Linked DNA regions of Ovis aries. The protein of the gene in region 1 purifies or fractionates together with the protein of each later gene. This does not show direct contact. Links are inferred from orthologs where the notes say so. Each region holds a gene or a part of one and is shown on either strand. Other genes may lie near its edges. The genes, in order: ELAVL1, TRIM21, IGF2BP1 and BTRC.

Region 1 (4,353 bases):
AGCTGACTTTCCTCCGAAGCCATCTCTGTGCCCTGCTGGTGTTGCTGAAAGTCAGGATTTCTGTAGGCAGCTTAAGGTTTTCCAGAGCCTACCAGCTTTGGAGACAAAGGTCCCCTAACTGGCAGAGAACTCGTAACCTCTTTCCTAGCTCAGTCACTCTGTCTTGGGAGGAAAGCAGTGCAGAGGCCCTCTGCCTGCTGGCTGGAGGACAGACAAGGTGTCTGGGTGGGCTGCCCCGGCGCTCGTCGCAGCCTCCTCCGTGTGCCGCTGCACCAGTGGTGCACATGGAGACTGGACAAAGCAATCAGGATCCTTAGAGTGTTCTCAGGACACCCCAGACACTTCCCAGAGGCTCCAGTCATGGTACTGGAACTGTTTGTGGGCTTGCTTCTTTAAAGCCCTCTTATTAAGTGCAAATGGTTAAACTTGGACTAGTTCTGGTTTTGTTTCAGTAGACTTTATTTTTAGAGCAGTTTTAGGTTCACAGAAAGATTGTGAAGAGAGTCCAGAGTAAATTTCCCTATACCCTTCCGCAGGCACAGTTTCCCTCCTCTATTACTAAATCTTGCCTTAGTGTGGTATTTTGTTGTAATAGATGAACCCATGTTGTTACCTAACTAAAGCCCAGGGTTTGCCTTAGAGTTCACTCTTAAAAAACTTCTGGATTTGTTTCTTTTTGGTTGTGCTGCATGTGGACTTTCTCTAGCTGCAGTGAACAGGGGCTACTCTTCATTGCAGTGCATGGGCTTCTCATTGCAGTGGCTCCTCTTGTTGCAGAGAACAGGCTCTAGGCCCACGGGCTCCAGTGGTTGCAGCTCCTGGGCTCTAGAGCACGGGCTCAGTAGTTGTGGTGCACAGGCTTAGCTGCTCCACAGCGTGTGGGGTCTTCCTGGACTAGGGACCAAACCCATGTCCCCTGCATTGGCAGGCAGATTCTTATCCACAGTGCCACCGGAGAAGCCCTAGACTTTACTCTTCACTTTTATACCCTCATACAGAGGAGCGGCGCTACCCTAAAAACCCCGGTGCCCTACCTGTTCGTTCCCCTTTCCCCGAAACTCCTGATCTTGCAATCTCTCTAGTTTTGCCTTTTCCACAATGTCACATACTGGAGACCCTCTATTTTCAGCAGTGTGCATGTAAGGCTCCTCTGTGTCTTTGTGGCTTCCTGGCTCCTGTCTTGTTGGCACTGAAGAACCTTCCATTGTGTGTGTGTTACCAGATGACTGGTATGTGTTTCTCCATTCGCCCACTGAAGGGCATCTTGGCTGCCTCCAGTCTGGGGGTGGTTACGAATAAAGCTGCTATAAACATCCACGTGCGGGTTTCTGCGTGGACATAAGTTGAACTCATAGCATTGAAAAGAAAAATGTCTTAAGTACAAACATAGTCATGAGCGTTGCTTTGATATCCTGCAGTGGGAACGTTTGGAATTTACTTCATTTTTTCTTCCCCTGCAGATTTTTTTTTTTTTAATACAATGTCTAATGGTTATGAAGACCACATGGCCGAAGACTGCAGGGACGACATCGGGAGAACAAATCTGATTGTCAACTACCTCCCTCAGAACATGACCCAGGATGAGCTACGAAGTCTGTTCAGCAGTATTGGTGAAGTGGAATCTGCAAAACTTATTCGGGATAAAGTGGCAGGTAAAGAAACAGAGCCATTTTTGTATGTGTTGGGCGTGGGGGATGGTATGTGGGGCCATCCCACCACGCCCTGTTTCTTAGCCAGGAAGTTTCATTTTTATCTCAACTCTGTTTTGCTCCCGTCCTGGTGTAAGATTGGCTGTAGGTTCCCAAAGGAGGAAAAATCCATCCTGAGATGGAGAATATGTACAAAACAAGACAGTGGGAGGGGAGGGAAGATGAGGAGACAGGAAGGAGAAATGGGGATGCTGTGAGAGCTGGAACAGGCACGGTCCCAGCTGTAGAGGGACCCTAGCCAGTGTCCTGCCAGGGGCAGGCCCAGCGTGTCTTCTCAGGCGGTGCATGCCAGGTCACACCTGCGGCAGAGTGCTGAGTCAGTCCCCTGTGGGCAGCCCTTCGCTGGCTTTGGGCCACCCTGACTCTGTTCTCATGCTATCAACTTGAACATCTGAAACTGAGCTTGAACTCTCACGGGGGCTGGAGCAGGGGAGCAGAGGATCATGGGTGGGCCGTGGATTTGGCAGGCAGGCAGGCGCAAAGCTCCACCCTCCTACAGCGCCTCAGTGTCCCCATCCACGAAGTGGAGGTGGTGGCTCCTGCCTTCCTCATGATGCTGTCTACCGCCTAAGGGTTTGCAGAAGGCCAGTACCTGGTAAGGCCCTCTGTAAGGAGGCCTCTGTTCTGCGAGCGAGGTTGCAAGGGTTCTAGAGAGAAATGTGAAGAGACATGGGGCTGTGAAGCACTTCCTTTCTTTCCTCCCCAGGGAGGTACATCTTAGGGAGCCCTCCTTTACCTCCCACTCCCCCTCCTCCTTCCTCCTCCTCCTCGTCTCTGCCCAGCTCTTCTGACGAATGGCCAGTCCTCTCGGCAGTGCTCTGGCTCCCACCCTGGCTTGTAAGATCTTGATTCCCTACACTGAAAAATAATTTCAAAGTCAAAAGTCATATTTATTATGGAAATATATTGGGTTGGCCAAAGAGTTCGTTCGGGCTTCTCTATAGCATCTTATGGAAAAACCCGAACTTTTTGGCCAACTCAAGATTTAAGTTTACATTAGAGTAATTCTGTTGAACCCCATGTACCCATTGTCCTGTTTCATCAACTCACAGCATTTGCCAGTGACTCTAAGATGCCTGTCCCCAAGGTGAGTCCCGCTGACCCCAGGGCTTTGTTTTGTTTTTATTTGATTGTTTATTTGGCTGCACTGGGTCTTAGTTGCAGCATGTGAGATCTCAGTTCCCTGACCAGGGGTTGAATCCGGGCCCCTTGCACTGGGAGCTCGGAGTCTCAGCCACTGGATCAGCAGGGAAGTCCCAGAGAGAGGACTTTGAGCTCAAAGTCCTTTAATGACCCTCTCAATTCTGAGAGTGTGCAATTTATTACATGTCTTCAAAATAGGGGCTTTAGATATACACAAAATTGAACAGTGTTGGAATGTTCTAGAAATTCCTCTCTCTCTCCAGTTCCAGAAGACCATCCTTAATAAGAATCCTTGTTCAGAGAGGTTTTTAAATTCTTCTGCGCTGCTGCTGAGTCTTGCCTTTCTCCTGTTGTGTTCTGGCAGAAGGAAATTTTCAGTCCCTGCAATATTCCTGATTCCTCTATCTCTTGGCTTGTTGTGTTTTTCAAAGGCATTAGAGCTATGTTGGAGAAGGCAATGGCACCCAACTCCGGTACTCTTGCCTGGAGAATCCCATGGACAGTGGAGCCTGATGGGCTGCTGTCCATGGGGTCGCTAAGAGTCGGATACGACTGAGCGACTTTACTTTCACTTTTCACTGTCATGCATTGGAGAAGGAAATGGCAACCCACTCCAGTGTTCTTGCCTGGAGAATCCCAGGGACCGCGGAGCCTGGTGGGCTGCCGTCTATGGGGTCGCACAGAGTCAGACGCGACTGAAGCGACTTCACAACAGCGGTAGAGCTATGTTAATAGGAACACCTGGATTTGGCGACATGAGTCTGGAGAGAACTGGTTTTAAGAACCAGTGAAATCAGCACAGGCATGATTTGAAAATTATTTCAGTTCAGAAGTAAAGATCTTCTGCTCTCTGGGCAAGTTTGAATGTAATGCGTTGGGAGTCGTAGAGTAGATGAGCCTGGGTTGACATTTCAGCTCTGCATCTCACATCTTGTAGTTCTTTATTTAAAAAAAAAAAACAACCATATATATATACACACACACACACACACACACACACACACACACACACACATTTATTTATTCATTATTTGGTTGCTCCAGATCTCAGTTGCAGCATGTGGGATCTAGTTCCCTGATCAGGGATCGAACCTGGGCTCACTGCATTAGGAGCACAGAGTCTTAGCCCCTGGACCAGGGAAGTCCCTGCTGCTGCTAATGTTCAGTCGCTCAGTCATGTCGACTCTGCGACCCCATGGACTGTATCCGCCAGGCTCCTCTGACCATGGGATTCTTCAGGCAAGAATATTCGAGTGGGTTGCCATTTCCTTCTTCAGGGGATCTTACCGACCCAGGGACTGAATCTGAGTCTCCTGCATTGGCAGGCAGATTCTTTACTGCTGAGCCACCTGGGAAACTGCAGTCCTTGATAGTAGTTCTTTAAATTGAATGAACTTAATTTTATGGAAAACTTACCTCATTCACTTTTCTTCTCTTGCCACCAGTGTTTGATAATTTCTTCAAGGCTGGTTCTGGGGCCAGGGCCTCACATCTCACTTCT
Region 2 (4,267 bases), on another chromosome or scaffold:
ATTTACAACATCAAGGTCTCCAACAACATCACTTACAACCAAGAAACTGATTTTACAGTCAAAAAATTCTGATAATGGGGTTGCACTATGGAATGCAGTGGTCTTACAATGTACATCATCAACCAGAAAAAGATGGTCCAATAAAAATATGAGATGCACTGCTGAAGGCTCAGGTATGGCAGCAGTTTGGAAACCCCACTCTATGATATAAGAATGTTGTACCATAAATTCTGGTGCACATCTAAGATCAACAACTAATAGGTGATGGTATTTTTTATAGCCATTATAAACACACTCTTCAGAGAATAAAGAAGGGAGGTGGTTGCAGCTCCTATTTCCCTCAAACTAGTAACTCATTTACAGATCATTTTCTTTCCATCCCCCAACACAGGGCTCAGCCTTGTTCTAAGGGTCTAGTAAAGAAAGAAGTTCTTCCACCAGAGTAAAAACTCTGATTCTTATAAATAGGAATTTGCCACTACTCCCTGGCTCTTTGAGGTTTCTTGTGCTTGCTGCTGCTGCTGCTGCTGCTAAGTCGCTTCACTCGTGTCCGACTCTGTGCGACCCCATAGACAGCAGCCCATCAAGCTGCCCCTGGGATTCTCCTGGCAAGAACACTGGAGTGGGTTGCCATTTCCTTCTCTGATGCATGAAAGTGAAAAGTGAAAGAAGTCGCTCAGTCGTGTCCGACCCTCAGCGACCCCATGGACTGCAGCCTTCCAGATTCCTCTGTCCCTCGTATTTTCCAGGCAAGAGTCCTGGAGTGGGGTGCCCTTGCCTTCTCCGTTCTTGTGCTTAGTGGCTCAGTTGTGTCCGACCCTTTGAGACTCCATGGACTGTGGTGAAGTATACAACTGTGAACGTATTTAATGCCACTGAACTACACACTTGAAAACGGTTAAGATGGTAAATGTTATACGTACTTCACCATAATTTAAAATAATAATAAAACAACCTGAGAAAGTCCCTGGCTCAAGGATAAGTACACAGTTGTTGCCTCAATAAATGTCAAGTCCCTTCTTACCACTCACTGGTGTGATAATGCGCTGAGGTACTGTGGAATAAATTGCTCTCCCCCTGATGTTAAAAGAATATCAAGTCTCCTGAAAAGGAATTGTTTTTGGAAATAGGGAACAGAAGATGGCCTTTAGAGGAGACCTCCAGGCACCCCTGTCCATCCAAACCTCCTTTAAAGCAGCTCCCACACGAGGGCACAGCACGTAGGCCTGCATGGCTCCTCCACGCAGCAGATACGATGCTTCACTCTATTACACAATGAGGACACGGGAGGGAACGCAAAGCAAGGACTAAAGGCTGCGGAGCTTTCGCTCGCCCCAGCCTCCCAGAAGCTCCAGACTCTGGCGGCACCTCAACCCCTCCGCCTTCCTCCTCCCTTGGCCCCGCCCACTCTCCTCCCGCTCTGCCCGCCTCCCTTTCAGATTTGCGGTGGACAAGGAATCGAAAGTGAAATAAGGAAACGGCTGCCATCCACTGCGTCTCTTGAAAAGGTGAGTGAACTTGGCTAGACCGAGGTACCCCAGCTCTCCCTAGGGGACCTCTCTCCCCTGCCCCAGGTCTGAAGTGCCTCATCCAAGCCGTCCCCACCCCTAGAGATTTCGATCTCAGGTTTTCTTTCGCAACAGGTCTCCCTCAACCTTAACCCAGCAGTTTTTCCCCTGCAGCCTGGGAGGAGGCTGGGCTGTAAACCTGACTGGGATGTCCCCTGGAAGGAGCTCGGATTGCTCTGCTTCCGCCGGCACCTGAGCTGGGAAGAAAAACCAGGGAAACTGGGAGAACCAGGATGGCAACCTAGCTCAGGGGTGGTCCGGGAGCCCGGTGTGGGGGTAGGTCCGCGATCCCTGAGACTGCTGTCCCCAAAAGGCTCCCTCTGGAGGTGAGAGAGACAGGGTTGCTTAGGATATTAGAAAACTATGGGTCTGCGCCCTAGAAGAAACAAAGGCGGGGCCAGGTTCAGGGTAGCTGAGAGAAGAGCCCAGGAAGTTCTTAATAAACCTCACGCTTCTGTGTGTATGCACATACATATATACACACATATACATATGCGTGTGTGTGTGTGCTCAGTCGTGTCTGACTCTTTGCGACCCCATGGACTGTATGTAGGCCGCCAGGCTCCTCTGTCCACGGGATTTCCCAGGTAAGATACTGAAGTGGGTTGCCATTTCCTTCCCCAGGGGATCTTCCCAACTCAGGGATCAAACCTGCTGTCTCCTGTGTCTCCTGCATTAGCAGGTGGATTCTTTGCCACTTGCACCACCTAGGAAGCCCATGTACTTACGGATATACGTGTATCCTTATGAAAATATGTAAGCATAAATATAAATATTCTTATATATATTCATGTTACCGATGATTAGATAGATACCAATAACTCCTGCCTATTGCAAAGATTAATGAGAATGTATGTGAAGCATGTAGCACCTGGCACATGGAACGAGCACAGTCAATGGTCGCTACTGTTAAGATTAGCTTCTCAACAGAGTAGAAAACCAGTGGCCTGAGGCAGAAGATCAATAGGTAAAGCCTGGACTCTGAGCGGTTAAGCAGAGATGAACATGATGAAAGTCGAATTGTAAGCAGCTGTCTCTCAGGTTCTCAACAATATTTGCTATCTCTTGGGGACTCAGTGTCCCCTTCTGTCTGACTGGATCAGTGACCCAGACTATGGAAGAGGAGCACTATTCAGGTTGAGGTCCTTGTCTTTTCTTGTTTTCACTCCCTCCAGTTCACCCTCTCTCGTGGTTCCCTTTTCTTACCTGGCTCTTCTCTTCCGTCCCTTTCCTCTTCTCCCCTCACCGCAAGATCTCCCCAGCACTACCGAAGAGGAGCATCACCCCAATGGCTTCAGCCGTACCCTTGACAATGATGTGGGAGGAGGTCACGTGCTCTATCTGCCTGGATCCCATGGTGGAGCCTATGAGCATTGAATGTGGTCATAGCTTCTGCCAGGAGTGCATCTCTGAGGTCGGGAAAGAAGGAGGTAGCGTCTGTCCTGTGTGCCGGCGCCACTTCCTGCTCCAGAATCTCCGGCCCAATCGACAGGTAGCCAACATGGTGGACAACCTTAGGAAAATCAGCCAGGGTGCCAAGGAGGGCCCACACGGGGAGCTGTGTGTGGTGCACAGAGAGAAAATTCACCTCTTCTGTGAGGCAGATGGGAAGGCCCTTTGCTGGGTGTGTTCCCAGTCCCAGAAACACCGTGATCATCCCATGGTCCCTATTGAGGAGGCTGCTCAGGAGTACCAGGTGAGTCCTCAGCACAGAGGCAGGAACAGGTAAAAAGGAGATGGGGCCCTGTTGATGGCTTTGTTCCCCAGAGCTGGAAATGGGAGAGAGTTACCTGTGGGGCTGGGGAAAGAATAGGGGTCTCCTGCCTTCTATGTCTTATTTAAGGGGGAAATGGCAAGCTCAGCACAGTTTTCTCATTCTCACAGAGCAGGGATGTGCTATGGGAAAATGCTTCAAGAATCTTCTTCCCTTGTGGCCTCCTGCTTAATTAGGAACAAGCAGTGCCCCCACCCTTTGTACACCAACCGTGTGGCCCTATTTTGTAAGAAATATCAGGCTTTTTCCAAAACCTTCCCATCCACAGAGTTCCTACCCCAAACAGACTCTAGTCCTTCCTTGTCCTCTGCACTCAGCCTCTTCTAAGAACCAGTATGATCTTCCCCCCACTTCACACCACTGCACCCTACTTCTTGACCTGACTGGGTATCATCTTGCTTTCGTTCTCTGCAGGAAAAGCTTCAGGTGGCACTAAAGAAACTAAGAGATAAGCAGGAGATGGCTGAGAAGCTGGAATTGGACATTGCAATGAAGAAAGCATCCTTTAAGGCAAGAGTCATATCCTGAAGGGAATCTTAGATCTGAAGCCTGGGGAGGGTCCAGCTATGCCAGTCCCTATATCTCACTCCCCAAGAACCAGCTGCCCCATAGGTCTCTTGATGGAGGGGATTAAAAGAGTGTGGAGATCAAAAAGAGCTCCCAGTCAGATGGAGAGAGAGTCTTAGGAAAAGGTGCTGAGGGACAAGATATATTCTAATGCTCCTGCTTCTTGAGCCCAGTCTCTGGAGATGACAGCCCAGTCTCTGGAGATGGCCTCAGAGTTTGGGACAGGGGAATGCCAGGAGAGATGCCCAATGTCAAGAAATGACAAGTTGTCAAGAAATGACAGTGACTATGAGAACCAGATTTAAGTGAACCATAAAGGCCTAAGATGGGCTTCCCTAGTGGCTCAGATGGTAAAGAA
Region 3 (3,748 bases), on another chromosome or scaffold:
TAATAAGCAAAGATGGTGAAAAGATGGTATGATAATGGACTATTACTCAACCATAAAAAAAGTATTAAATCTTGCCATTTTCAGAGATGTGGATGGACCAAGAGCATATTACGCTTAGTGAAATGTCAAAGACAGACAAATACTGTGTGATATCACCCATGAGAAATCTAAAAAATACAGATGAATATACGTGCAAAACAGAAACACAGATACAGAAGAGAAACTAGTGATTACTAAAAAGGAGGGGGGCATCAAGGGTATGGGGGTATGGACTGACAGATACAAACTACTATGTATAAAGTAAAATGATAGGAACTCTCTGGCAATCCTGAGGCTGGGACCCAGCGCTTTCACTGCCAAGGTTGGATCTCTGGTCAGGGAACTAAGATCCCACAAGCCAATAAATAAATAAGTAAACGAAACAGTCAAAGGACAAAAATATATTGCACAGCACAGGGAGTTATAGACATTATCTTGTAATGACATTCAATGGAGTAGAATCTTAAAAAATGCTGAATCACTATGGTGTGTAATTGAAACTAATATATTATAATCAACAATACTTCAATTAAAAAAAATAATAAATTCATGTTCTCCCTGAAAAAAAGTAGAAGGGGTTGAGTGCTATGGAGAAATACAAACCAGGGAAAAGGAAGTGGTGGTTAGGGGTATAATTTCACATAGGGTGGACAGAAAGGGCATTGCTTAGTAAGCTGCATTTGAGCAGATGAAGAGTTTATTGTTACAAAAGCAAACACTTCCCATTCTGTTTTTTCCAGGGAGCAGGCATCGCCCCCAGATTAGGTGTGTTATGGTTCTCTGGTGAGCCTTTGAACTAGCAGTGACCCCTGCCGGGCACCCCTCGTGAAGCTCTCCAACGTGCTCCCAAGCCACTGCTGTCTGTCCAGGAGTAACTGAGTCATCAGTCTAACATGTAAGCAGGCCTGGACAATGGATATCAAGGACTGAGCAATGGCTATCAGTGCTTCCAGTTATGCCCTGGTGCTTACAGTAAAAGCAAGCTCCAGGGTCAGAGCAGAAGAGAACCTGTTCCACTGATTCAGCACCTCAGATCTTTGTGCAGGCGAGTATGTGATTTACAGCTTGGCCCTTTAGAATTTGGAGATGAATATTTTGTCTTGTCTAGGTTTCTTAAAGATCTGCAAACTCAAACCATTTTGTCTGCCTAACGACCAAGCTCTACTTTATGTCCAGGCCAAATCACTTCAAATTTTCATTCATTCACTCATTCGCTTTTGGCTGAGCTGGGTCTTCACTGCTGCACATGGGCTTTTTTCTAGTTGCATCGAGCAGGGACTACTCTCCATTACAGTAGGCGGGCTTCTCATTGCTCTGGCTCCTCTTGCTGCAGAGCGTGGGCCAGAGGCGCAAGGGCTTCAGCAGCTGCAGCTCAAGGGCTCTAGACAGCCAGCTTCAGGAGTTGTGGCACCCGGAGCTTTGTTGTACCATGCCCCATGGCATGTGGAATCTTCCCTCTTCCCAGACCAGATGAAACCCACATTCCCTGCATTGGCAGGTAGACTTCTAACCACTGGACCACCAGGGAAGTCCTCCAAATTTTATTTTAGCTCATATCCTCTGAAAATAATATATAATCCTAAGCAATTTGAGAAGAACTTAAGTTTTTGGAGAAACTTCAAAAATCATAGCAAACGTTTTATGATCTAGAATTCCCTTCTATTATTTCTCCTTCTGCAAGGAGATCCAACCAGTCTATCCTAAAGGTAATCAGTCCTGGGTGTTCATTGGAAGGACTGATATTGAAGCTGAAACTCCAATATTTTGGCCACCTGCTGCAAAGAGCTGACTCATTTGAAAAGACCTTGATGTTGGGAAAAATTGAAGGCAGGAGGAGGAGGGGATGACAGAGGATGAGATGGTTGGATGGCATCACCAACTCAATGGACATGAGTCTGGATAAACTCCAGGAGTTGGTGATGGACAGGGAAGCCTGGCGTACTGCAGTTCATGAGGTTGCAAAGAGTCGGACATGACTGAGTGACTGAACTGAACTGTGGGCCTACTGTTTTTTCTTGGCTGCGCCAGGTCTTAGCTGTGGTATGTGGGATCTAGTTCCCTGACTAGGGATCAAACCCAAGCCCCCTGCATTGGGAGATGGAGTCTTAGCCACTAGACCAGCAGGGAAGTTCCCATGGGCCCAGACTTGAGAAACATTTTGCCTGCCCATCAATATGTGCAAAAGTTTTCTGCTTTTTTTTTTTTAATTAACCAAAGACATGTAGCTGACAATCAGTTTCTATCCCCTCCGCCCACCCCCACCCAAAAAAGACAACCTGTTGATTATTTCAGACAAAAACCAAGAGTCACGAAGCTTTTAAAATAAAAGGGCTACAGATTTACTTTGCGCACAGCTTGCATTCTTAACCTATTTCTAAAATCTTGGGAACCTGTTTCTACCTTGGCTGGCTCATGCAGACTCCATGCTGGGAATGAGTGGTTTTGTTGATTCTCTTATTAATCAGAGGAGAAGCCAGTTCCAGAGAAGTAGCAGAGCCAGCGCTGGGACACTCCACTCTACCTCCCTCCACGGTACCCTCTGGCTGTCTTTGTTTGGTGTTCCAGAGAGATGTGGCACCAGAAAAGGAAGCAGAGCAGATTTCCGCCCATCCGCCCCCCACAACTCCTCCAACAGCCATCTACCCCTACCCCACTACCGCCGCCTCTATCCACTCTTACCTTGCTCGCAGTTCTCCACTGTACCATACTGAGCCAGCAAGCTGTCCAGTACCTGAGAGCAGGGGAAGGGAGTACGGCTAACCTGAGTACCCCAGGAACTCACCAAGTCATCACTGCGCACACCCCTCACCCCAAGGCACTGGGAAAGCCTTTGGTGGGGACTGAACATGTTACCTGCTTGGTTTGCCCTTTCTCAGGTACTAATGCTGGTGGTAATCCATCAGAATTTCTTCACAGAATGTACTTGAGCTCAAAAAGGAACTTAAGGTCCTTTGGGGAAGCAGACCTGCAGCACCTGGGTCTCCAGCCGGTCCTCTGTCATCTCTAAGCTTGGGGTTCAGGAATACCCCTCCCACCTCCCTGATGCCTCTCACCAGAGGGAATGCCCAAGAACTCATGCTGGAAGTCTTAGGCTGAGGATGCAATCCAACTGTCCACCCCGCCACCCCCTCCCTCAGAACCTCTGGCCTAGAACCAAGCCCCCAGGACACCTCCCAGTCATCTCTGCCACCTCAGGCTAACCAAGACTTCCCTCCCAGTCTCCACGACCCCACTAACAGTTTCCCCTAATCACTTACTTCCCATCGAAGCTGGGGTGGAATATTTCGGATCTGTATTTTTCGACTCCTGAAATCAGAGAGAAAACATCAGTGACAGCTCTGGATACTTTAGGGGCCTGTGACCTTGTAGGTTTTAGTCCTCGTTCCAGTCTATCTTCCTACCTTCTATTCAACACCAAAGCCTTAAGAGTCTAAGAATGATAACCTTTGGGAATGGAAACCTGGCCTCTTTAGAGAGCGAAATACAGTTCGCCCACAGCTAGGAAAGCCAAAACCAGGTGCCCTAAGCGCTAGGATAACTAATTCCCCCCAGTCATACCTGCTTTGTTCATCTCTCTTAGGTTCCTCACTAGTTATATCTTACTCAGTAACCATCCGTTACCACCCACCGGGTTTCAGCCTCTAGGAATACAGAGCTAGCTATGTGAATTATTGTATGAATCATTCACCTGATACCTTTTTAAATCGGG
Region 4 (3,748 bases), on another chromosome or scaffold:
TCACACTCATGCATTGGAGAAGGAAATGGCACCCAGTCCAGTGTTCTTGCCTGGAGAATCCCAGGGATGGCGGAGCCTGGTGGGCTGCCGTCTATGGGGTCGCACAGAGTCAGACACGACAGAAGCGACTTAGCAGCAGCAGCAGCAGGGTTTAGTTAAATGCTCTTATGTGCGTCTGTCAAGTTGGTCAGTGTGGTTTTCACCTGTATTCTGTTAATTGTTATGTTTTTGAATATATTGAGTTTTGAATATTAAACTTTGTATCACTACAGATCCCATAGACATTAAAAGGATTATAATAAAGGAATGCTATGAACAATTCTGTGCCTTCCAAACTGATAATCCAGATGAAATGGACCAATCCCTTGAAAAATACAATATTCCACAACTTAGGAAGAAATAATCATTCTGGATAGACCTAGCCTTATTAAAGAAATAGAATAAATAATAACTGTCCAAAACAGAAAGCACCAAGCCCATATGGGCTCACTGATGAATTCTACCAAATGTTTAAGGAAGAAATTATACCAATGCTCTATCCTTTCCTCCAAAAGATAAAAGCAGTGTGAATATTTCCTACCTAATTATGTGAGGCTGGCATTACCCTAATCCTGAAACCAAACAAAGAAAACTACAGATATGTCTACCAATATGTCTTATGAACACAGATGATCATGTATCTCATGAGCTTATTTACATCTTGTAAAGAATGTGAAATAGTGCAGCCTCCATGGAAAACAGTATGTATGCTTAGTCGCTCAGCTGTGTCCAACTCTTTGTGAACCCATGGACTATATAGCCCACCAGGCTCCTTTGTCCATGGGCTTTTCCAGGCAGGAACACTGGAGTGGGTAGCCATTCCCTTCTCCAGGGGATCTTCCCAACCCAGGGGTCGAACCTGGGTCTCTTGCATTGCAGGCAGATTCTTTACCATTTGAGCCACCAGGGAAGCCCAGTTCCTCTGTGTGTGTGTGTGTGTGTGTGTGTGTGTGTGTGTGTATGTACACAGAGAGAGAGAGAGAGAGAATAGAATAGAATATTATCCAGCCTTAAAAGAAAGGAAATGCTGTCATACGCTACAACATAGATGAAACTTGACATTATTCTAAGTGAAACAGGTTTATACCTGCTTCTTAGAGCCAGTTGTTAGATTTTCATGAATTCTGCAAGCTGGTTGAACTCAAGATAGCTAGCTTGAAATTAGCTAGGATAGAAATTTTTAGACTGTAAAATGTGGAAATGCTTTTACAAATTGGGGATAGTTAATTGATAAATACATACCAACACAGTACTGCTTATTGCTCATCAGCCCTTGGCCTATGATTGTAATAGAATCCTAGAGATACAGAGAAGAGGATGAAGCCTGAGAGGTACTGAGGAATGTTCTCATTGAGGCTAAAGTCTAGGAGAGTTAGCAATGAGAAACTTGTGTACTGTTTGACATGTGTCAGCTCCAGTGAATATTACTTTGACTATATATGAAATCAGCTACCCAATATTTGACTTTTATATCCTGCCTTTAATCCAGATTAAGATTTTTATTTGTATTCTTGAAATGGTCAAGAAGACTATCAGCTTTAGCCTTTCTATAGACTCCTTTTGACATGTTGCTGAATTTGTGTTTTTTTTTTTTTTATTTTGAATAGTTCAAAAGTTCTGTTTCTGCTTCTTTAGGAGCATTCTGGAAGAGTTTTCCGACTCCAGTTTGATGAATTCCAGATTGTCAGTAGTTCACATGATGACACAATCCTCATCTGGGACTTCCTAAATGATCCAGCTGCCCAAGCTGAGCCCCCCCGCTCCCCTTCTCGAACATACACCTATATCTCCAGATAAATACTCATACACTGACCTCAGACTCGCCCAGGTATGAAAAAGAATTGTGTACATAGCACTGAGGGTAAGCAGTGGAACACTGGCTGTAAGGTATTGTGAGTTCATGGAGCCTTCTCATGCCCTTTCTAACTCCAAGTCCTATAATACAGAAACTGACACCACGAGACAGGGCTGGGCTGCACACCGGATGCTGCCCTTGATTGAGGTAACCAGCTTCGGTCCTTAGATAATTCTTGAGCTAGACCTCGATGATCCAAGTGTAGTAGAACTAATATTCCTGCCTCAGTCATCTAGTCGCATTGTTAAGGAAATAAAATGAGATTTAAATCAGTTTCAAAACTAAGAGTATTGACCCCAAAGCCTATGGCTTTGTAATTCCCAGATTACTCTAGTACCTACAGTGGAGACCCTTTAACCCAAGTAGATAATCTGATGTTGGAAAGAAAAGAATCCCTTGGCAAAATAGCACACAAGGCTGCCTTCTCATAGCTCTTGTCAGTGTCATTTGATTATAAAAGGTGGCTTTTCTCCATCCCCCTTATCTGCATTCCCTGCCCCCTCCAACTGTTTTTTGACCTTGGAAGTAGCTCTGGAGTTGGTGAGAATTCCGATATTCTCCCACTCAAGTCTCTGTCCTGTCTCTGGGGCAGAAGAAGATCCTAATGTTCATCTTAACCTATATCCCTGGGACCCTCAGATCATACCTGATGGTCCTGAGCAGGTCAGATATAGGTCATCACTGGTTTGGGAAAACTGTACTAGCTACTGGGAAATATTGCCGTTATTGTGATTTCTCATTTCCTATACTTGCCTCTGTTCTTGTGGCAGAAGCACACATTCAGTACACTCTTCTGCATATCTTTCTGCAGTGGTTCTTCTGAACAGAGTGTTTTAAGCCTTGCTTCATTCAGTACTCACTTCTCTCACAGAGGATGTGGCCGCTTTCTCAGCCAAGGCACAGAGGCTAGCCATGTGCCCTTGGGCAAACAGCTTCCCCGAGCCTTAGTTTCCTTGAGAATTGTAATACCTACCATGCAGAGCTGTTGTGAGAATCAAATGTTATGCGTAGAAACCTTAGTGCTTAGCACAGTGCCTAGCACATAACAGATTCTCAATAAAAAAAGTAACCATTAATTAGTAGCAATATTGAAATTGTCATATAGGTATCCCTTCCTTTTGCCAAAATATTATCCTCCTCAGATTTCAGTGGCATTTTGGCTCTCTGATTGTTTACATTTCCTCCTTTGTCTCACTCCTGAAACTTAGACATCCCCTAAGAGTCTGTCTCAGGCTTTTCTTCCTTACCTGAGTTCCTTTCTTTGGCTCCCTTATCTCTCCCCAAAGCTTCAGCTCTCATCTCCAATTTGTATGTTTAGTCCCAACCTCTGCCTTAATCTCTAGGCCACATTTCCAGTCACTACCTACACACCTGTCCTTGACGGTACCAGGGGCGCTTCTGGGGCACACATCTAACACTCAGGCTCTCCCCTCATCTACACTACCAGTGCCCTCCAGCCAAGCAGCCAGAGAGCTTCACCCTTCTCCCCCACTTTTTTTTTAGTGGCATACTGCATTCATGGCCACTAAGGCCGGAACCTCAGAGCTGTCCTCACCTGCTCTACCATTATAGGAAGCAGGTGGAAGCTCAGTGCTACACCCACCATAGTCACTGTTAGTCTCTAAACATCAGAGTCACTCTGCATGAGCACTTAGAGTCCTGAGCCTGTCAGTGAGCCCTGCTGAGCCCCCAGACAGGCCTTGTAGCCTTTGACAGAAACTCCTGTGTGGCATGGACAGAGAGCAGGTATTAGGAAGGACCTCTGAGCCTTTCTCCCAGTTGACAGCTAGTTTAATATTCTTTTCCTCTTAGAGAAAGTGAGAAATTCAGGAAAAGGGACTAATGACTCTGTGC

The links.
Region 2: the proteins of ELAVL1 (region 1) and TRIM21 purify together in Homo sapiens (affinity purification with western blotting; 3 studies listed by BioGRID, with this or other methods). This does not show direct contact. The link is inferred for Ovis aries from reciprocal best matches to the Homo sapiens genes ELAVL1 and TRIM21.
Region 3: the proteins of ELAVL1 (region 1) and IGF2BP1 purify together in Homo sapiens (co-immunoprecipitation; 3 studies listed by BioGRID and IntAct, with this or other methods). This does not show direct contact. The link is inferred for Ovis aries from reciprocal best matches to the Homo sapiens genes ELAVL1 and IGF2BP1.
Region 4: the proteins of ELAVL1 (region 1) and BTRC purify together in Homo sapiens (affinity purification with western blotting; 4 studies listed by BioGRID, with this or other methods). This does not show direct contact. The link is inferred for Ovis aries from reciprocal best matches to the Homo sapiens genes ELAVL1 and BTRC.

Annotation. Positions count from the first base shown.
Region 1 is NC_056058.1:14,469,914-14,474,266, reverse strand, and holds the start of ELAVL1 (ELAV-like protein 1), read left to right. Parts: upstream 1-1,480; coding exon 1,481-1,652; intron 1,653-4,353. UniProt on the Homo sapiens protein: RNA-binding protein that binds to the 3'-UTR region of mRNAs and increases their stability.
Region 2 is NC_056068.1:49,571,162-49,575,428, forward strand, and holds the start of TRIM21 (E3 ubiquitin-protein ligase TRIM21), read left to right. Parts: upstream 1-1,452; 5' UTR 1,453-2,155; intron 2,156-2,192; exon of another isoform or gene 2,193-2,324; intron 2,325-2,820; 5' UTR 2,821-2,856; coding exon 2,857-3,264; intron 3,265-3,756; coding exon 3,757-3,852; intron 3,853-4,267. UniProt on the Homo sapiens protein: E3 ubiquitin-protein ligase whose activity is dependent on E2 enzymes, UBE2D1, UBE2D2, UBE2E1 and UBE2E2.
Region 3 is NC_056064.1:37,261,672-37,265,419, forward strand, and holds part of IGF2BP1 (insulin-like growth factor 2 mRNA-binding protein 1), read right to left. Parts: intron 3,346-3,748; coding exon 3,297-3,345; intron 2,771-3,296; coding exon 2,719-2,770; intron 1-2,718. UniProt on the Homo sapiens protein: RNA-binding factor that recruits target transcripts to cytoplasmic protein-RNA complexes (mRNPs). This transcript 'caging' into mRNPs allows mRNA transport and transient storage.
Region 4 is NC_056075.1:22,074,363-22,078,110, forward strand, and holds part of BTRC (F-box/WD repeat-containing protein 1A), read left to right. Parts: intron 1-1,674; coding exon 1,675-1,836; 3' UTR 1,837-1,867; intron 1,868-3,748. UniProt on the Homo sapiens protein: Substrate recognition component of a SCF (SKP1-CUL1-F-box protein) E3 ubiquitin-protein ligase complex which mediates the ubiquitination and subsequent proteasomal degradation of target proteins. Recognizes and binds to phosphorylated target proteins.